Oryctolagus cuniculus: one gene and its partners. The protein of the gene in region 2 interacts with the protein of the main gene of each other region in a biochemical or structural test. Links are inferred from orthologs where the notes say so. Each region holds a gene or a part of one and is shown on either strand. Other genes may lie near its edges.

Evidence for each region. The genes of interacting proteins can lie anywhere in the genome.
Region 1: the proteins of ACVR2A (region 2) and SYNJ2BP form a complex in vitro, tested with the Homo sapiens proteins (2 studies listed by BioGRID and IntAct, with this or other methods). The link is inferred for Oryctolagus cuniculus from reciprocal best matches to the Homo sapiens genes ACVR2A and SYNJ2BP.
Region 3: the proteins of ACVR2A (region 2) and BMP2 form a complex in vitro, tested with the Homo sapiens proteins (3 studies listed by BioGRID and IntAct, with this or other methods). The link is inferred for Oryctolagus cuniculus from reciprocal best matches to the Homo sapiens genes ACVR2A and BMP2.
Region 4: the proteins of ACVR2A (region 2) and GDF2 form a complex in vitro, tested with the Homo sapiens proteins (2 studies listed by BioGRID). The link is inferred for Oryctolagus cuniculus from reciprocal best matches to the Homo sapiens genes ACVR2A and GDF2.

The regions. Positions count from the first base shown.
Region 1 is NC_091451.1:16,186,463-16,190,546, forward strand, and holds the start of SYNJ2BP (synaptojanin-2-binding protein), read right to left. Parts: upstream 2,801-4,084; 5' UTR 2,678-2,800; coding exon 2,614-2,677; intron 1-2,613. UniProt on the Homo sapiens protein: Regulates endocytosis of activin type 2 receptor kinases through the Ral/RALBP1-dependent pathway and may be involved in suppression of activin-induced signal transduction.
Region 2 is NC_091434.1:94,321,550-94,325,049, forward strand, and holds part of ACVR2A (activin receptor type-2A), read right to left. Parts: intron 1,864-3,500; coding exon 1,656-1,863; intron 1-1,655. UniProt on the Homo sapiens protein: On ligand binding, forms a receptor complex consisting of two type II and two type I transmembrane serine/threonine kinases.
Region 3 is NC_091442.1:31,668,136-31,672,297, reverse strand, and holds the start of BMP2 (bone morphogenetic protein 2 precursor), read right to left. Parts: upstream 2,801-4,162; 5' UTR 2,739-2,800; intron 1,562-2,738; 5' UTR 1,555-1,561; coding exon 1,212-1,554; intron 1-1,211. UniProt on the Homo sapiens protein: Growth factor of the TGF-beta superfamily that plays essential roles in many developmental processes, including cardiogenesis, neurogenesis, and osteogenesis. Induces cartilage and bone formation.
Region 4 is NC_091446.1:80,860,042-80,864,339, forward strand, and holds the start of GDF2 (growth/differentiation factor 2), read right to left. Parts: upstream 2,801-4,298; 5' UTR 2,618-2,800; coding exon 2,257-2,617; intron 1-2,256. UniProt on the Homo sapiens protein: Potent circulating inhibitor of angiogenesis. Signals through the type I activin receptor ACVRL1 but not other Alks. Signaling through SMAD1 in endothelial cells requires TGF-beta coreceptor endoglin/ENG.

The DNA of each region.
Region 1 (4,084 bases), on a different chromosome or scaffold from region 2:
TTTTCCTTGTAGTAAGGAGGATTAGATGGAACAGATTAATTTGCCTTGCAAAATGGGCATAAACAGTGGAAATATCCCAGATCACTGGCACAAAAGCAGAGCAGTACACACTTTCTTGTAGTTACCTTCATTAAATGATGAGGTCTTAGGGTAGGAAGCTGTATAAAGACAAATAACCATGCTGCTCACTGTAAAAAATGTATACGTAGTTAGAGACTTTTCATATTCTTCCTATAGAAAGAAAGATCCCGATGGAATTACAAAAATTACATAGAGGACTCTAACGATGATTATTGACTTCTTCGTGGTTTATCTTCATGACAACACTATGAAGAAAAGCTGAATTAGATCTGAGACCAAGAGTATCACATACCAGTATACCAATTCTAGAAATAAATAGGAACTTGAAACCTTTCCTTGCTAATAGAACAAACCAAATTGCAAATAACTGTTTTTATCCATATTCAATCCTAAAGTTGTGGTTTGACCCTCCTCATAAGTTCCCTGGCTCTGTGACTAAGACATGAAAATGTTTAGGAAAATTCAAGAAACCACCCTGTGGATAAACTCACATACAATACAAAAACTAATCCACTTTTGGTTGCAATATATTAGCTAGATAGAATTTCTTTTAATTAATCCCATGAAGTTTGCCCTAACTCCAATGCTTCTGAAAAATACAAACACTAGGAACTTTATATCTGCAAGACAAACAGACTCAGAAGTTGTGGTGAATGGTGAACTAAATATTAGGCAACACTGCTTTGCAAATGCCAAAAATGATTTAGTGATATTATACTGAATTTAAATTATTTAGTGCCCAGAATAAGATTCTGCTCAGCTCTAGTTGGGAGATTCTAGAAATGATGCAGATGTCACTGCCAAGTACATTAAATTCTTAAGCAAGAATCAAGAACCCAAACTCAAATATCACAAAAAGTAATGTTACAACAAGATATTTAGGCTAAAGGAAGACCAGGCAAAGTAGAAGCAAGGGAAAATAAGTGCAGGGCAATCAGAAAAGGAACTAGCACAGTTTTAATTAGCCTTATATGAAAAACAATTACCAGTGGCAGAAAGGTACAGAAAAACAGATTCTGGTTGAAAACTAGCTTTCCATATTAGCTTTAAAGTCGGTAAGTATTGAGTAAGAGAAATAAAAAAATTTTATAAAATAGGAAGAAAGAATCCAAGGGGCTTAGTTACTCTGCTTAATTATATTTCCATAAGACCAGCTTCCAATTTTATATAACAAAAAGAAAGACACAAAATATAGGTAGTTCTGCAAGTCATATTTTATAAAGGATAATCTGTCAGTGGTGATTAAGCTACTGCAAAATTCCAGATGAGAAAAGTGATTAACTATTATAGATAGTGGCACTGGGAACAGAAAAAAGGATTTTAGAAACATTTTTAGATGGAGCACATGGGGCTTATGATTTCTACAGGGTCTTTTTCAATAACATTTACCATGCAAATCTAGCCATTCACCCAATAAAAATAACAGTAGTAGCAAATACATACTGCTTACTGTGTGTCAGACAATGCTCTAATTATTTTACAAATATATTTAGATGTTTTATCAATTAATTAATTTCATTCTCAAAAACTATATATTGTATTCTATAATCACCTCCAATTAACAGATGAGCAACTAAGGCACCAATGTCACTCAGTGGAAAAAAATACACCAAAGAACCAGTAAGCGGTTAGATAACAAGCTTTGTGCCTAGATAGTACAATTCCATGGTTAAAGCTCTTAATAAACTCAACAACTGCTAAAAAAAAAAAAGCCAACCAAGTCCAAGGCAGGCAGTGAGTAGCAATGTCAACAGCTCAGTCTAGGGAAGGAATATCTGGGGGAGGGGGGAGTACAGAAGGTGTAAGGATCTGACTGTATCAGAATCATGTAAGTTGTTAAAAACAAATTCGTATTGAATCCAAATCTCTAGAAATGAGAACTAGAAATCAGCATTCTAATTTTATACTAGCATAAAAAAGCAAAAACAAAAACAAAGCCTGGATAGTTTTGTAGCAGAACCAAGTTTGGAAACTCCTGTAACAGATCTCTAAAGCGTCTTCCTGCTTTAACAGTCTAGTTGACACTATATACTAATTTCTCAGAAATGAGGAAGGAATCCTGGCACCAGAACATCTGTGCATTTATTTAGAGTTCACATTGTTTTTTTTTGTTTTTTTAAGAATCGTTTTATTTAATAAATACAAATTCCATAGGTACAGCTTTTTGAATATAGCGGTCACATAGTTTACGTTCCCAATTTGGCTAAACGATCCTCCAAGGAACAAGGAGAGACCAGGTAATAGAAGGAAGAGTGTGTCCACGGAATGCTGGCTAAACAGCGGGTTTTATTCTAGGCTTCTCTAGCACCATGAGCAAAAAGAAATCTTTCCAGATTAGAAATACGTGTTGTAATCCGACCCGTCATCTAGCCAATGATGGATATCAATATATTCTTTCAACATTCCTAACCTCCTACGTTGGGGCCTGCCTACTCTGAGGCCAGGTGAATCCGGCGCAACAAAAAGAGGGTCTGCTCTGCAAAGGCACACCTCAAGTCCCCTACTCCCAAAGACAGCCCGCTCCGCACATACCTGAGGGTCCTCTAGTAAGATTGATTTCTTCCTCGGTGATTAAGTAATCCACTCTTCCGTTCATGTTTTACCGCTCCTATTCGGTTCAGCTGGGGCTCTGCCCAGGTGAAGGTGAATCAATCTCCGCGCTGCGGTCTAAGAACAGCACTTCCGGTTCGCGCAGCCTCCGGGCCGGAAGAGGAAGTGCGCCGCGCTCAGAGCGCTCGGAATGCTGGGAGTCGTGGTTCTCACAGCCGATCGGTTGTGTTCTCTCGTTGAGTGTTCCGAGAAAACTGTGAGGTCAGCAAGCCGCAAGTTATTGACCGGCGAAAGTACTTGGGAAAAGTAAGGTTGGGGTGGAGGGAGGCTAGTTAAGGTAGTGGACGTAAAGAAATTGATATTGCTGAGGAAAAATCTAAAAGGAATCTTGGCATCTCAAAATTTCCACAAATATAGAAAAGAAAATTTTGTTATTCTGTGAGCATCAAACTAGACTGGGATGGACGTTACAGGCAATCCATTGATGAGATTGCCAAAATGAAAAATCTCGTATAAGCCAAGTAGGTACAAACCATAACATGCTTGTCCTTACATAGAGGACTTGACAACACCATTTGTTATCCACTCTCTGATGGTTCACCTTTGGGGTGGCCTTCTGTGTTAGTTAATACAGGTTAGCAAAGGAAAAGTAATACTTTGCTCTCTGTATGACAAGCTGTTGCGTAAAGATTAGTGTAAACCACTTGGGTTAACTTCCATAGTAAGAGGAGATAGGAGCACTGTTTTCCCTGATATTAACATTGGGAAGAGATGGTTCCCAGGACCTTAAGTAAAAGATTCCTGGATTGTTGCTGACAAAAGCCTTATTTAATTTTAAGAAATTTAAGGGGCTGGTGCTGTGTCCTGATGGGTAAAGTGGCCGCCTGCAGTGTCCTCATTCTATATGGGCATTACTTCAAGTTCCAGCTCTCTGGTGTGGCCTGGGAAAGCAGTACCCAGTGGTACTGCACCTGTGTGGGAGACCTGGAAGAAGCTACTGGCTCCAGGCTTTGGATTGGCCCAGCTCTGGCTGTTGTGGACATTTGGGCAGTGAACCAGCGGATGGAAGACCTCTCACTCTCTCTGTGTAACTCTGCCTTTCAAATAAATAAATCTTTTATTTTTTAAAAGGAAGATATATATATATATACATAAACATTCAAATTTAAGGAATAGAGAGTGGGGCAAAGTCTACAAATTGATGCTACTGGGAAAAATAGGCTAAGGATGGAAGATTAGAGCAGTGATACACACTTAATTCTATATGTATTAGGCTAAGATGGAAGTGTACTTCATTCACAGTAAAGAACTAGAGATGGATGGTCAAAGGCTAATAGAGGAGCTCCTCAGTCACCAAGGAATCAGATTCCTTTCATCTTTCTATAACCCCTTCAGTTCTCATCCTTAGAGTGTGGCCTTTACTTCATGGCCCAAGATGGTTACGATGGTTTTT
Region 2 (3,500 bases):
TTAGAATAAGTTTGAACTCAACTCCTAAGTGAAAAGCTCAAGAAACATGAGGGAGACAGTAGTTGTAGCAAATGAAATTTTAAAATATAACCTATGAGTATACAAAAACCTAGTTGCCAAAAGATAAAACAAATCAAAGCTAAATATTAATTTATAAATATAAATGCATAAATTTAAAAATATTTAGAATCACACCTCAAATTGTAGATGAACAGTTAAATAACTAATTGAAAAGAATTACCTTTCACTATCCAATTTCATCTTTTATTACTACCTTTTCTTTCATACATTGACATTCTTTGACTTTTCTTGCTCTTACTATCTGTATTACTGTTCAATCAAAACCAGAGCATAAAACCAAAATTTCACTTATTTTTAAATCAGCCTTCAATCCCCCAAAACAAAGCTGTTGAAGTAATTATCATTCCAACAGCAAACATTTGCACTGAATAATGCACTCCCCGATCCAGATCTCCAGTGGAAAATGGCTCAGTACCCTTTTCACCACTGCCTGCAGTTCACATAAATGAAATACTGTTTTTAGTAATTTTTCACCACAAAAGGTAAGAATTCTTGATTTCAACTCATGAAGACAGTTTTGGACAAACATGACTCTCAAATTTCATCTCCCTTCCCCTCTGAATTTCTTCTATTTACCTTTCAGGATACCACATATCACCCGATGACCATTTCTGTTAGTAGAGGGGTTAATCAGAAATGCAGCTAAAACATAATTATAGAGGAATAATCCCTGGGAAACTCACAGACTTAAAAGTATATCCTAAAAACTAAATATATATCTAAATGACTGTTTTAATCTCTCAACAAAAGTAGAACTATTTTTTATGGGCTCAGTAAATGCATTTTTCTATCCGTTACAGCTAACCAATCACAATTTAAAGATAACAATTCAGGCTCCTAAAAGTAGACCCACAGTATCTACAATCCAGTGTATACAGCAACACTTTCTGGGTGCAAATGTCAGTCTTCAGCACCCACCGCAGTGGAAATCTTGTGGCCCAAACAGTTGAAGCGATCAGCCCAACATCTATGGGACTCTTTACAGAGAGAACATAGGCAGTCAATAACATGACCACTGTATTTTATTTCCAGTACAGAATAAAACAACTCAAACAATGTACATTAAATAAAATGTAGCTTTCTATAGGGACTCTGTGTTCTGATGTAATTCTGAATGTCAAGTTAAAATGTCTCTTGGGGTAAAGAACAAAGGCCTCCTCCACAAGAAAAAAAAGGGGGCATGGTGTAACAAAATCAATTTCTTCCAGATACATAATGAAGGAAACTTAAAATTAAATACTACAATTAGGTTTTATTCTCCAAGAGGATAGATTTTCCAACAGATACACTCTCTTTTAAAGTGGTTTTAAAAGTCCTTTCTTCCTTAAAATTGCCATTAAAAAGTAAAGACCTAACAATGTAGGGAAAGTGATTCTTTTCTAAAAATTCTCATTTCTTAGATTATTCAAAAATATCAAAGATAAATATAAGTATACCATGTTTATCTTACTTCTTTAAATATATTTTATCAACAGAATATATCATAACTCTTCATAATCTTTTTTTCTCCTTTAAAAAGGGGACAGTGATGAGAATTACTTAAGACTATCTTAACAAATAAAATGCATCCTTACCTATCATAGCAGTTGATATCATCCAGCCAACAACCTTGTTTCACTATTTCGATGGAACCAGAAATATTCTTCCAAGTAGCAAAACAATGCCGCCGTTTATCTTTGTCACCATAACAGGGTTCAACACCAGTTTGATTAGTTCTGTCTCTTTCCCAATTAGCGTTAAAGAAAAGACACTCCTGAGTTTCTGATCTACCAAGTATAGCACCTATAAGACAATAAAACAATGTATTATGTTAGCTCTTTTTTTTTTTTTAAGATTTATTTATTTATTTGAAAGCAAGAGTTAGAGAGAGAAGTCTTCCATCTGCTGGTTCCCTCCCCAAATAGCCGCAATGGCCAGAGCTACACTGAGCAGAAGCCAGGAGCTTCCTCCAGGTCTCCTACATGGGTGCAGGGGCCCAAGTACTCGGCCATCTTGTACTGCCTTCCCAGGCCATAGCAGAGAGCTGGATGGGAAGTGGAGCAGCTGGGTCTTGAACCGGTGCCCATATGTGATGCCAGAACTGCAGGTGGCGGCTTTATCCACTATGCCACAGCACTGGCCCCATATATTAGCTCTTAAATAAGAGTTTGTCTTCCAACATAGCAACTTCAGATGTTCCTAAAAATCTCATCTTCCCAGTGTTACAATTTTGGGTTTAGGTCTTCAGGTTAATCTCTTTATATTAAGTATGAAAATAATAATGGGAAGTGACCAAATATTTCCAAAGATTTCTCTGGACAATGCCAGTTTCACTTAAGAATGTCCTTGGCTGACTTACCTCAAATGGTAGAGTTAGAAACATACCAGGGGATTCCAATTCAATCCCATCAAGGTAGCATGTACCAATGCCATCTCACTAGTCCCAGTGATCAATTTCTGTTCACAATTGATCATAATGATAGGACTAAGAACCAAAGGGATCACATAAACAAGAATAGTGTCTGCAAATACTAGCTGAGAGAATAAAAAAGGGAGAGAATGATCCAACATGAGATGGCAGATGTCCTAAACAGCACTCTGGCCTCAGAATCAGCCCTTAAGGCATGTGGATCCGGCTGAAAAGCCCATGAGAGTATTTCAGGCATGGAAAGCCAAGACACTCGGGGGGGGTGGGGGGGAGGACCTAAATGAAAGATCTCCGCGAGTGAGATCCCAGTGGAAAGAACGGGTCATCAAAGAAGGAGGTACCTTTCTCTGAAGGGAGGAGAGAACCTCCACTTTGGCGATGGCCTTGTCTAAATATGATCAGAGTCAGTGAACTCAGGGGGCTTCCATAGCCTTGGCAGCTCATGACAAGAGCCTAGGGTGATTACTGAGGCCATAAACAAGAGTGTCAATTTGTTAAGTCAACAACAGGAGTCACTGTGCACTTACTCCTCATGTAGGATCTCTGTCCTTAGTGTGTTGTACATTGAGATTTAATGCTATAACTAGTACTCAAACAGTATTTTTCACTTTATGTTTCTGTGTAGGAGCAAACTGCTGAAATCTTTACTTAATGTATGCTAGGCTGATCTTCTGTATATAAAGAGAGTCGAAAGTGAGTCTTGATGTGAATGGAAGGGGAGAGGGAGTGGGGGGGGAGGGTTGCGGGTGGGAGGGACGTTATGTGGGGGAAGCCATTGTAATCCATGGGCTGTACTTTGGAAATTTATATTCATTAAATAAAAGTTAAAAAAAAAAAGAATGTCCTTGATGAAAAGCACAATTTGTTAATTTTATTAAGTCTCAACCCTTGAGTAGAGTTTTCAATATTCTGTATGACAAAAAAGGAAGTAAGCAAACATGATTCTCCTGCAGAGTGGAGTACAATGGCTGCTTCAAGAAGCAGCTTTTACATAACCACACTGTATACTCAA
Region 3 (4,162 bases), on a different chromosome or scaffold from region 2:
TGTTGATCCTCAGATCTTCAGAAAACACTTTACTTCAAAATGTGCTGGAACACGTGCTACCAGCTCCCAGCTCCCTTCACTGTGACAGCTGGGATGAGAAGTAGCTTGTGTGATGGGACCTGCCTTTGGGACTTCTTCTCATTATCACCCATCGTTCTTGAAAACGTCCCACTGAGAGAAAATTGTTTTCGTCAAGGAAAAGGGAACATCAGTCAGTGCAAGTGGCTGTTCTGTGATCTGTAACTCCACTCTTTTCTAGAATTCGCAGGAATGCATTCTGTATTTAGAGCTATTAAGCCAAAGGCACATTTAAAAGAACAAAAGAATGGAAATGTAGCATGTAGTTGACTAACGGTGCTAAGAAGTTAGGTGCAACAGAGCTCCATAGCTGCCCTAAGACATTTCAAATCCACTAAATGCCTTCCTGATGAAACCAGCAGAAATATCCTACCTTAGGAAAACCACATCCAGGATCATAAAAGAAAAAAAAAATCACATTTCAATGCATGTGAAGGAAGACAGGCAGCTGCTGCAAAAGGTTTTATCTGAAGGCTTGCTTTGTCTCTACTCTGAGCCTATCTCAGATTTAAGCACGAGACAAGAAAGTCATTGTGGAAACAATAAGATTGATTGTGGAATTGATCTCCCACGGGGATTAGATAGGGATTCGAAATCTTCCAACGCAGGCCCAGATCCACTGTAAATTAGGAAGACTTGGGGGCCCTGGGCTTTGATTTTTCAAGACTATCTGAGAATTCCGCCCTTGCCTCAGTCTAGCTTGAAACCCTGGCTTAAGCTGGAGACACAGATTTATGGAGCAAGGGCTTCCAAACAGACTTCAAGAAATCCCAAACCTCCTCCTTCTCCCACTGCGGAATTCCTGCACGCTTAGCTGACCAGGGGCATGCCTTTTAGCCTCGTCTTCCCCATCCCTTGATTCCGCTCTGGTTCCTGGAGGAGGAGTCGCCCTCCTGGCTGCGTGCCAGGAAACGGGTACGGACCGACCAAGGGGGAATCCCTGGCTGGCCCGCCACACGAGCAGTGCCTGAAAATCAGATTCAGAAAGGTCGGTACGGAAGCAAGAGGGACAGCATCCGCAGAGCTCTGGCTGAACTGCCTCTCCAGGGATGCCCGCAGCCGGCCTTGGTGCTCGGCGTTGCGGGTAGCAACCCGCCCGCGTCTCTGCCCCTGCGGCGCGCGCCTCGCCTTACCTTCGTGGTGGAAGCTGCGCACCGTGTTGGCGCGGCTGGCTGCCCTCTCCAGCCGGTGGTCCGGGGCGGGCGCGCCAGGCTGGCCGGAGTGCCGGCGGTACAAGTCCAGCATGTAGGGGGGCACCACGGCGTCCCTGCTAGGGGTGGGTCTCTGCTTCAGACCGAACATGCTGAGCAACCGCAACTCGAACTCGCTCAGGATGTCGTCCGAGGGCTGGGGCGAGGGGCGGCCCGATGACGCCGCGAACTTCCTGCGGCCCAGCTCGGGGATGAGGCCGGCCGCGCCGCCCAGGAGGACCTGGGGAAGCAGCAACGCTAGAAGACAGCGGGTCCCGGCCACCATGGTCGACCTGCGGACAGGGCCGACGTGAGTCACCCGAGTTCCCCGCCCAGTCCTCTCCCTTCCCGCCCCCGCGGCCTGGGCTCCCGCTGCGCTCGCTCGCCTCCTCCTCCAGGGCGCCCTCCTGCCTTGCAGCACTTGCTGGCTATGTCAGAGCGGCCACAGCTCTAACGTTTGGGGTGGGGTGGGGGAATGGAGGGCCCCAAGTTCCTGACCCAGAGCACTTTTCTCTCTCCCACCCCAGCCTGGGCCCGTCTGATACTTGATTTGGGGGTTGGCCTTATCCCTCGCTCCCTCCCCACTGAACTTAAGTGGTTGTCACTCCCCCCTCCCATACACACACACACACACACACACACACACACACACACACACACACACCAGAGCTGGCAGCCATGCAGGGAGTCTGGGGGATCACCGCTTGATCTGACACCCTGCCGCGCCTAGCCAAACTCAGAGCGCTCCCTTGCCTATAAACGCGCGCGCATGTGACTTCCTGAGAACCGGGGCACGGAACTTCCTGAGCCACAGTTCACCACTTCCAGACCCTGCAAACTCAGGGCCACGACTTCTGAAGCCGCTTGGCGGTGGCTGCCCGCTGGGTGTCGGGACGCCCCGCTCCACGCCCGCCCGCGAGCCCCCGGTGCGGTCGCGTACGCAGGTACCTTCCCGGCGTTACATAAAGGGCCGATCTCCACGCGCGCACGTGCCAGCGGGGAAACCCACGGCGCGAGCGGGACCCTGGCCCTCTAGCGCTTCTAGCAACCGGCGGAGAGAACCCCTAACGCCCAGCGCTTTCCTACGGGGGACGGGGCTCTGATGGAGAGCGCGGGTCTCCCCCAGAATCTTGATGAAGACAGCGCCGTGCCACGGCGTACAGGTTGGCAGCTAACGGGTGAAACCCAGGGGCCATCCTCTCCAAGGCAGCTCTTTGACTTTTTAATTTTTTAAAAAAATCATCTAAGTGTTAACAGCCTTAATAATATATCGAGGAAGAGCGGAGGAGGGGCGGAAGCGTGCGGGCGCGGGGAAAGGGGGCGCCCCCGCCGGGCTGGGCTGCACGTGGCCCCGGAGAGGGGTCTGTTTACGTCCTGCCCGGCCGCGCCCCGGAGGGGGGTCCGCCGCCGCCGCCGCCGCCGCGCGAGCCCAGCGCCCGCCCCGCACCCCGGGGCCCGCGCGTCCCGTACCTTTAGGAGACCGCAGTCCGTCTAAGAAGCCCGCGGGGACACGTCCATTGAAAGAGCCTCCACATGGAAAAAGCTCTGGCCCAGGGACCTGGCGCGGGGACCGGGCGTCCGCTCCCTTCCCGTGGCCTCCGGCTTCTCCTCCCGGCGCCGGCCGCCGAGTCCCTCTCCTCGCGCAGGGCGCGGCGTCCCGGGCTCGGCCCGGCAGAGGGCTGCAGCGCGGCGGGGCTCGGAGGCAGCGAGGCGGCTCCGCCGGGGCGCGGGCACCGGCGCGAAGCGGGGAGCAGCGCAAGTTAAGGCTGCAAGTTCAAGAAGTCTCCAGCCAAGTGCTGACACACAACAACAGCGAGCAGGGGGAGGAGTGCGGGCCGGGGAAGGGAAGGGAAGGCAGAGAGGAAAGGCTGCTGCTGTCGTCGTCCTCAGGCACCAGCGCCCGCGGGACGCGTGGCCGCGCGCGGGGCCGCCTGCGGGACTCCGGGGGGCGAGGGTCGGGCGCTCAGCGCTAGCTCCGCCGCGGCCCATGGCTCGGGGCAGCCATCCTGGGCGACGCCGGGTCCGGGGAAGGGCACAGCGGCGATCTCGATGCCCGGCGAGCTGCCCCCCCGCATCACTCTGCCTGCCGCCAGCGCACCCCCATCAGCGCTGGCCAGTGGAAACAGCCGCGGCTCCGGCGCCCCGTCGTCCTCGGGCGCATTCTCCGCGAGCCCAGCCGAGTCCCGGGCCGCCGAAGCGGGTGGCCGCGCTCTGCCCTCGCTGCTGTCCTAGCCCTCGGGCCAAGTGCCCTTTGTGGCCGGCTTGGGGTCCGATCACACCTCGGCTGGCACGTCTCGAGCCCCCGATCCCCGGCAGGAGGTGCTCGGCATCGCGGCGCTCGGGCTTGGCTCCGCACTCTCCGGCGCTCCGCGCGCCCGTCCGCGGCTCCGGCGCGGCCCGGGCAGCCGAGGCCACCGAGCTGTGGCGCGCAACGGCCGGGTGCTCCAACCCGCGAGGGGTCTGCGGTGCGCGGGTGCCTCGCAGCGCCCAGTAATCCGCGCGGCGCTCGCCTCGAGGGCGCTCGGGTCGCCGGCGGCGGCTGATGTCCGGCGGCGGCTGCCAATCCCCGGCGGGGTGTGGGAACCGGAGCGGCGGGCGCAGCGCGAGCCGGGCGCAGCGCGGCGGGGCGAGGACTCCGGCGGCGACGGCGGCGGCGGCGGCGCCGTGGCGCGGCGCTCGCGGCTTTTAAAGGGGACGCCGCCTGCTGGCTCCCTCCCGGCCCCGGCCGAACACCTCCCCCTCGGCGGCACTGCTCGCCGGGGATCCCCGAGCGGGCGGGAGCGGCGCTCAGGGGTGTGGACGGCGCGCCGGGGGCAGCCGCAGCGGGGTGGGGCCAAGGGCGGGGGCGCGCGGCCGCCGAGGGGGGCGCTGGCGCTTCCACCCCCCTGCCCTAG
Region 4 (4,298 bases), on a different chromosome or scaffold from region 2:
CCTGATGACTGGGACTTAAGGCATCTCATTGTCAAAAGGCACTGAACTGGTGAGGACCCTCACACGGGGACAAGGACTAAAGGCATTCATTGTCAGGCTTAGGGGAAGATGCTCTGGCATGGATTTACAGCAAAGAGCCTCGGAGGGGGACGTGAAAGTCAGCGTTACAAACCTCAGCGTCTACACTGTGTATAAATCCTTTGGAGTAGTAAATCCAAAGCACAGTGAAAACAGATTTTTTTTTTCCAGTATTCGTGGGGAAAAGATCTATTAGCCTCATGGCTTTGTCACATCAGGCAAAACGGGGCCTGTTTTTTAGATAAGTAATCACTTCCATTTTCCTCTTCCTGGGACTGCTGTTGGGGCATATAGGATTAAGCCTCTGCTTGTGATGCCGGCATCCCATATGGGTGCTGGTTCAAGCTGGACTGCTCCTCGTCCAATCCAGCTCCCTGCCAATGTGCCTGGGAAAGCAGCAGAAGAGGGCCCAAGTGCTTGGGTCCCTGCACCCATGTGGAAGACCGAGATGGAGCTCCTGGCTCCTGGCTTTGGCATGGCCCAGCCCTGGCCATTGCAGCCATTTGGAGGAATGGACCAGCCGGTGGACTCTCTCTCTCTCTCTCTTTCTCTCTCTGTAGCTCTGCCTTTAAAAAACCAATCCCTGCTTCCAGGGAGCTGACCCTCAGCCATCAGCCTGTGTCTACTACAACACAGCTCACTAACAGCGAGGGGAGAGAAGTGGTGTTTCTGAGCGCCTACCACGCACCAGCAGCAGCGAAGGGAGTGCTCTCCCAGAACCCTGTGGGCAGGTGTCGGTATCCAACAGACTGGGGCTGGGAAGGGGAGTCCAAGCCCCTCTGTGCCTCAACTTTCCTCATCTGTGAAATGGGGCTCATCCTGCCTGCCTCCCAGAGCCAGGGTGAGGCTCGGATAAAGCGGTGCCTCCAACCTCCTGGACATGGTCTCTGGCTCCCAGTGGACACTTAGTCAAGACTTCTGCATCCCACATGCCCTGCTGCCTCCCATACAGGCTCCCTCCACACACCAAAGCCTGCCTCCCTGGGCCCTCCGGGATCTTGTGTGCAGGGAAGCAGAGGGGAATGCTGGGATCCCAGGAGGGCTCCAAACACGGGACCCAGGGCCTGGGGAGCTGCAGAGTCTGTCTTTCTCAAAAGGGAGGCCAGCGTGTTACAAATCAGGCTCGTTCACGTGGAATCTGGATTTTTCTCTTTCGGACAATGGGGAAATCCAGCACTTTGGGCAGGCAGCCGTGACCGCAGCGAGCGGCCCTGACTCCTGTACATGCTCTCTTCCCCAGGCAGGTCTGGTCTGGCCTGGCCTGGCCTGGGTGCTGAGCTGCGAGCCCCTTAGATGTTTGCAAGGCTGAGATCCGGAAGGGGAGAGGCCTGTGCCCCCGCAGCCCTTCAGACAGGACTGCAGCAGTAAGAAGTGTCAGTGCCTTGGGGCTGGCGCTGTGGCGCAGTGGGTTAAAGCCCTGGCCTGTAGTGCTGACATCCCATATGGGCGCCGGTTCTAGTCCTGGCTGCTCCTCTTCCCATCCAGCTCTCTGCTATGGCCTGGGAAAGCAGTGGAAGATGGTCCAAGTGCTTAGGCCCCTGCACCCACGTGGGAGACCTGGAAGAAGCTCCTGGCTCCTGGCTTCAGCCTGACACACTCCTGACCATTGCGGGGCCATTTAGTGAATGAACCAGCACATGGAAGACATCTCTCTCTCTAACTCTGCCTCTCAAGCAAGTAAGTAAGTAAATAAATAAATAAAATATTTTTTAAAAAACTGACGTCTCTTCAAAACTTTCTTAGCAAAACTCATACTATGAAAAAGCTACATGGATTTCAAAATTTTTTTTGCACCAAAATGCACTTTTAAGTCCACTTTTCACAAGGGACTTTTTGAAACTCCGTGGTATGGTAGGGAGCTGGAGACTAACAAGTGTTCTGCTTCTGAGTAGGAGGGGATACCCAGGGGCCAGAGGGAGAGCAGAGGAAGGGCGGGGGGGGGAGGAGGGAAACCTGGCACCCCTGAGCACCTACTGTGTGCCATTGGCCCAGGGGCCAGGGAAGTGGACTCTGCACAGCAAGCGGGGGCGACTGCTGAGCCCTGGAATGAGCCTGGAGAAACCAACAGGCCACTTCTTCATTTCATTTCCCGGCAGCCTGAACGATGACCACCTGAAGCGTGGACCTGCGAGCTCAGTCAGCCCTGGAGACCCCGCCCCCCCGCGAAGCCCTCCCTACCTTCCACGCTGAAGCTGCGCACGATGTTGGAGGCGGGGGTGGAGGACTTGTCCGAGGTGTACCTGTTGTACAGGTCGATCATGTACTGCGGCGGCTCCGCCCTGGTCCTGTCCTGGGAGGGCACCCCGCTCAGGTTGAGGCTGCGCAGGAAATCCATCTTCATGTTCTCCAGGAACACCTGCAGATCCAGCGCGCCCTGCGGCGGCCCCACTCGGGGCTCCCCCTGCGAGGCGCGGCTGTTCCCCGCGCCAGAGGCCCGTCCCCAGCTCTGCAGAGGCTTTCCCTGCCCGGAGCAGGACAGCAGCGACAGCACGGGCAGGGCCACCCACAGCGACCCGGGGCCCATCTTGGAGGAGACCATGGGGCTTTAGCGCGCGCAGGGAGCGGCCTGGGAGGAGCGCGCCCGCATCGTCATCCCGCTGACTCCGCTAGGAGTACTGCCGCCAGCCCCGCGGGCCCGGACTCCATCCGCTTGTTCTTATCTGGCCCCACGAAGCTGCGAGGGGAGCTGTTATCGGCAGGGACCCTCGGTTAATGAAGGTTCTGTAAACATGTGGCAAAGCGCAGGGCCTGTGGGAAGGACACGGCCTCCCGGGAAGAATCCCCTCGACCGGTCGGTCGTCGCCCCTAATTAGGGTCCTGGCTGGTTTCCCGGACAGCTCCATTCAGGGGACACTCCAGCCCCTGGGCTTCAGGAACAAAGAAGCCAGGAAATAAGGCCCAGAAGCCCTCCAAATATAGCAATGACCGCAGTGGACACCCCAAGTTCAGGGCAAATCGGTGTGCGCCTGCTCGGTTGGGAATGGGAACCTGCCACGTGGCCGCACCGCGCCCCTGTGTCTGTCCAATGAGCTGCCTGCCCAGCACTGCCATTCCCATGTCACATAATGTGGCCAGGAGGACCTCGGGGTCAGGGTGGATGGGGGTTCCAACGCCAGCCCCCACGAATGGAACCTGGAGCAGCTTTGACTTTGGTTCTCAGCGCCTCCTGCTCGGAGGGGAATTGTGATGATGGAAGATGGTCAACAGGAGCAGCCACAGGCATGGGTGTCTCTGTTCTGGGTGCCTCCTCCCCACCTCTGGGCCTCCTGAGCTGGAGCTGGGGGAAGAAGCTCCTTGTTCTCTCCCTACCCTCCAGCTCTGCAGTAGCCCTGCAAACACACTGCAGCCTGCCAGCCCCTGGGAGCTCCCAGACCAGCTCTGTCTCTGGTCTGCATGTGTGTGTGTGTGTTGGGGGGGTGGGCAGCCTGCTTCACATCCATCAGCCAGCAGAGCTATGCGGAGTCTGGGCAGGCAGAGAAGGTGGGACGCTCTGAGATGGCTCCCTGGCCAGAGGAGGCTGACAAGCTGCATCCCAGTTGATGTGGCCCGAGGGACCCCAGGGACTGTGTCATTACAGTTTCTGTCTATGTCCATCACAAGAGGCTTTGGTGCAAAGCAAAGAAAGAGCACAGTTCAAAGCACTTGGCAGGTGTGCCTGGTGGTCCACGCTGGGGAGAATTTGAAGCTGACATTGATCCAGGCTGGTGGGGCTCCTGGGGGAGGACACAGAGAGATGCAGGAGGGGCCCAGCAGGCTGTGGTCACAGATCCCAGTGGGGGGAAGGGAGAGACCAGAAACCCTGAATGGCCACACCCGGACGGAACTTGCTGTCCTCATCCAGCTGCTCGGGGGCGGGCAGGAAATGGCTCTGGGCATTGGTCCAGCCCAAGGCAAGAGGAGGGGGGAAAAAGATCCAAGTGGGTGCCAAGCTTGGGAAATGGAGCTGCCCCCTGCCGAGTGTGGCATGGTGCAGGGAGCTTCGGAGGGCAGTAAGTGGCCCCCAGCGTGCTCCAGTCCCAGAGGCCAACGGGACGTTTTCACACGGGAGTGGCTGAGCCGCGTGGTGGCAGGGAGCCCGCTGGATGTGCTCAGGGTGGTACAAGGGTCAGTTAACTGTTGATTTTTTAAAAATGTGACGGGGCAGGCATTTGGTGTTGTGTTCAGTATACTAGTTAGACCTAGTGTAGCCCATGTCATGTAGCCCATGTCAGAGATCCTGA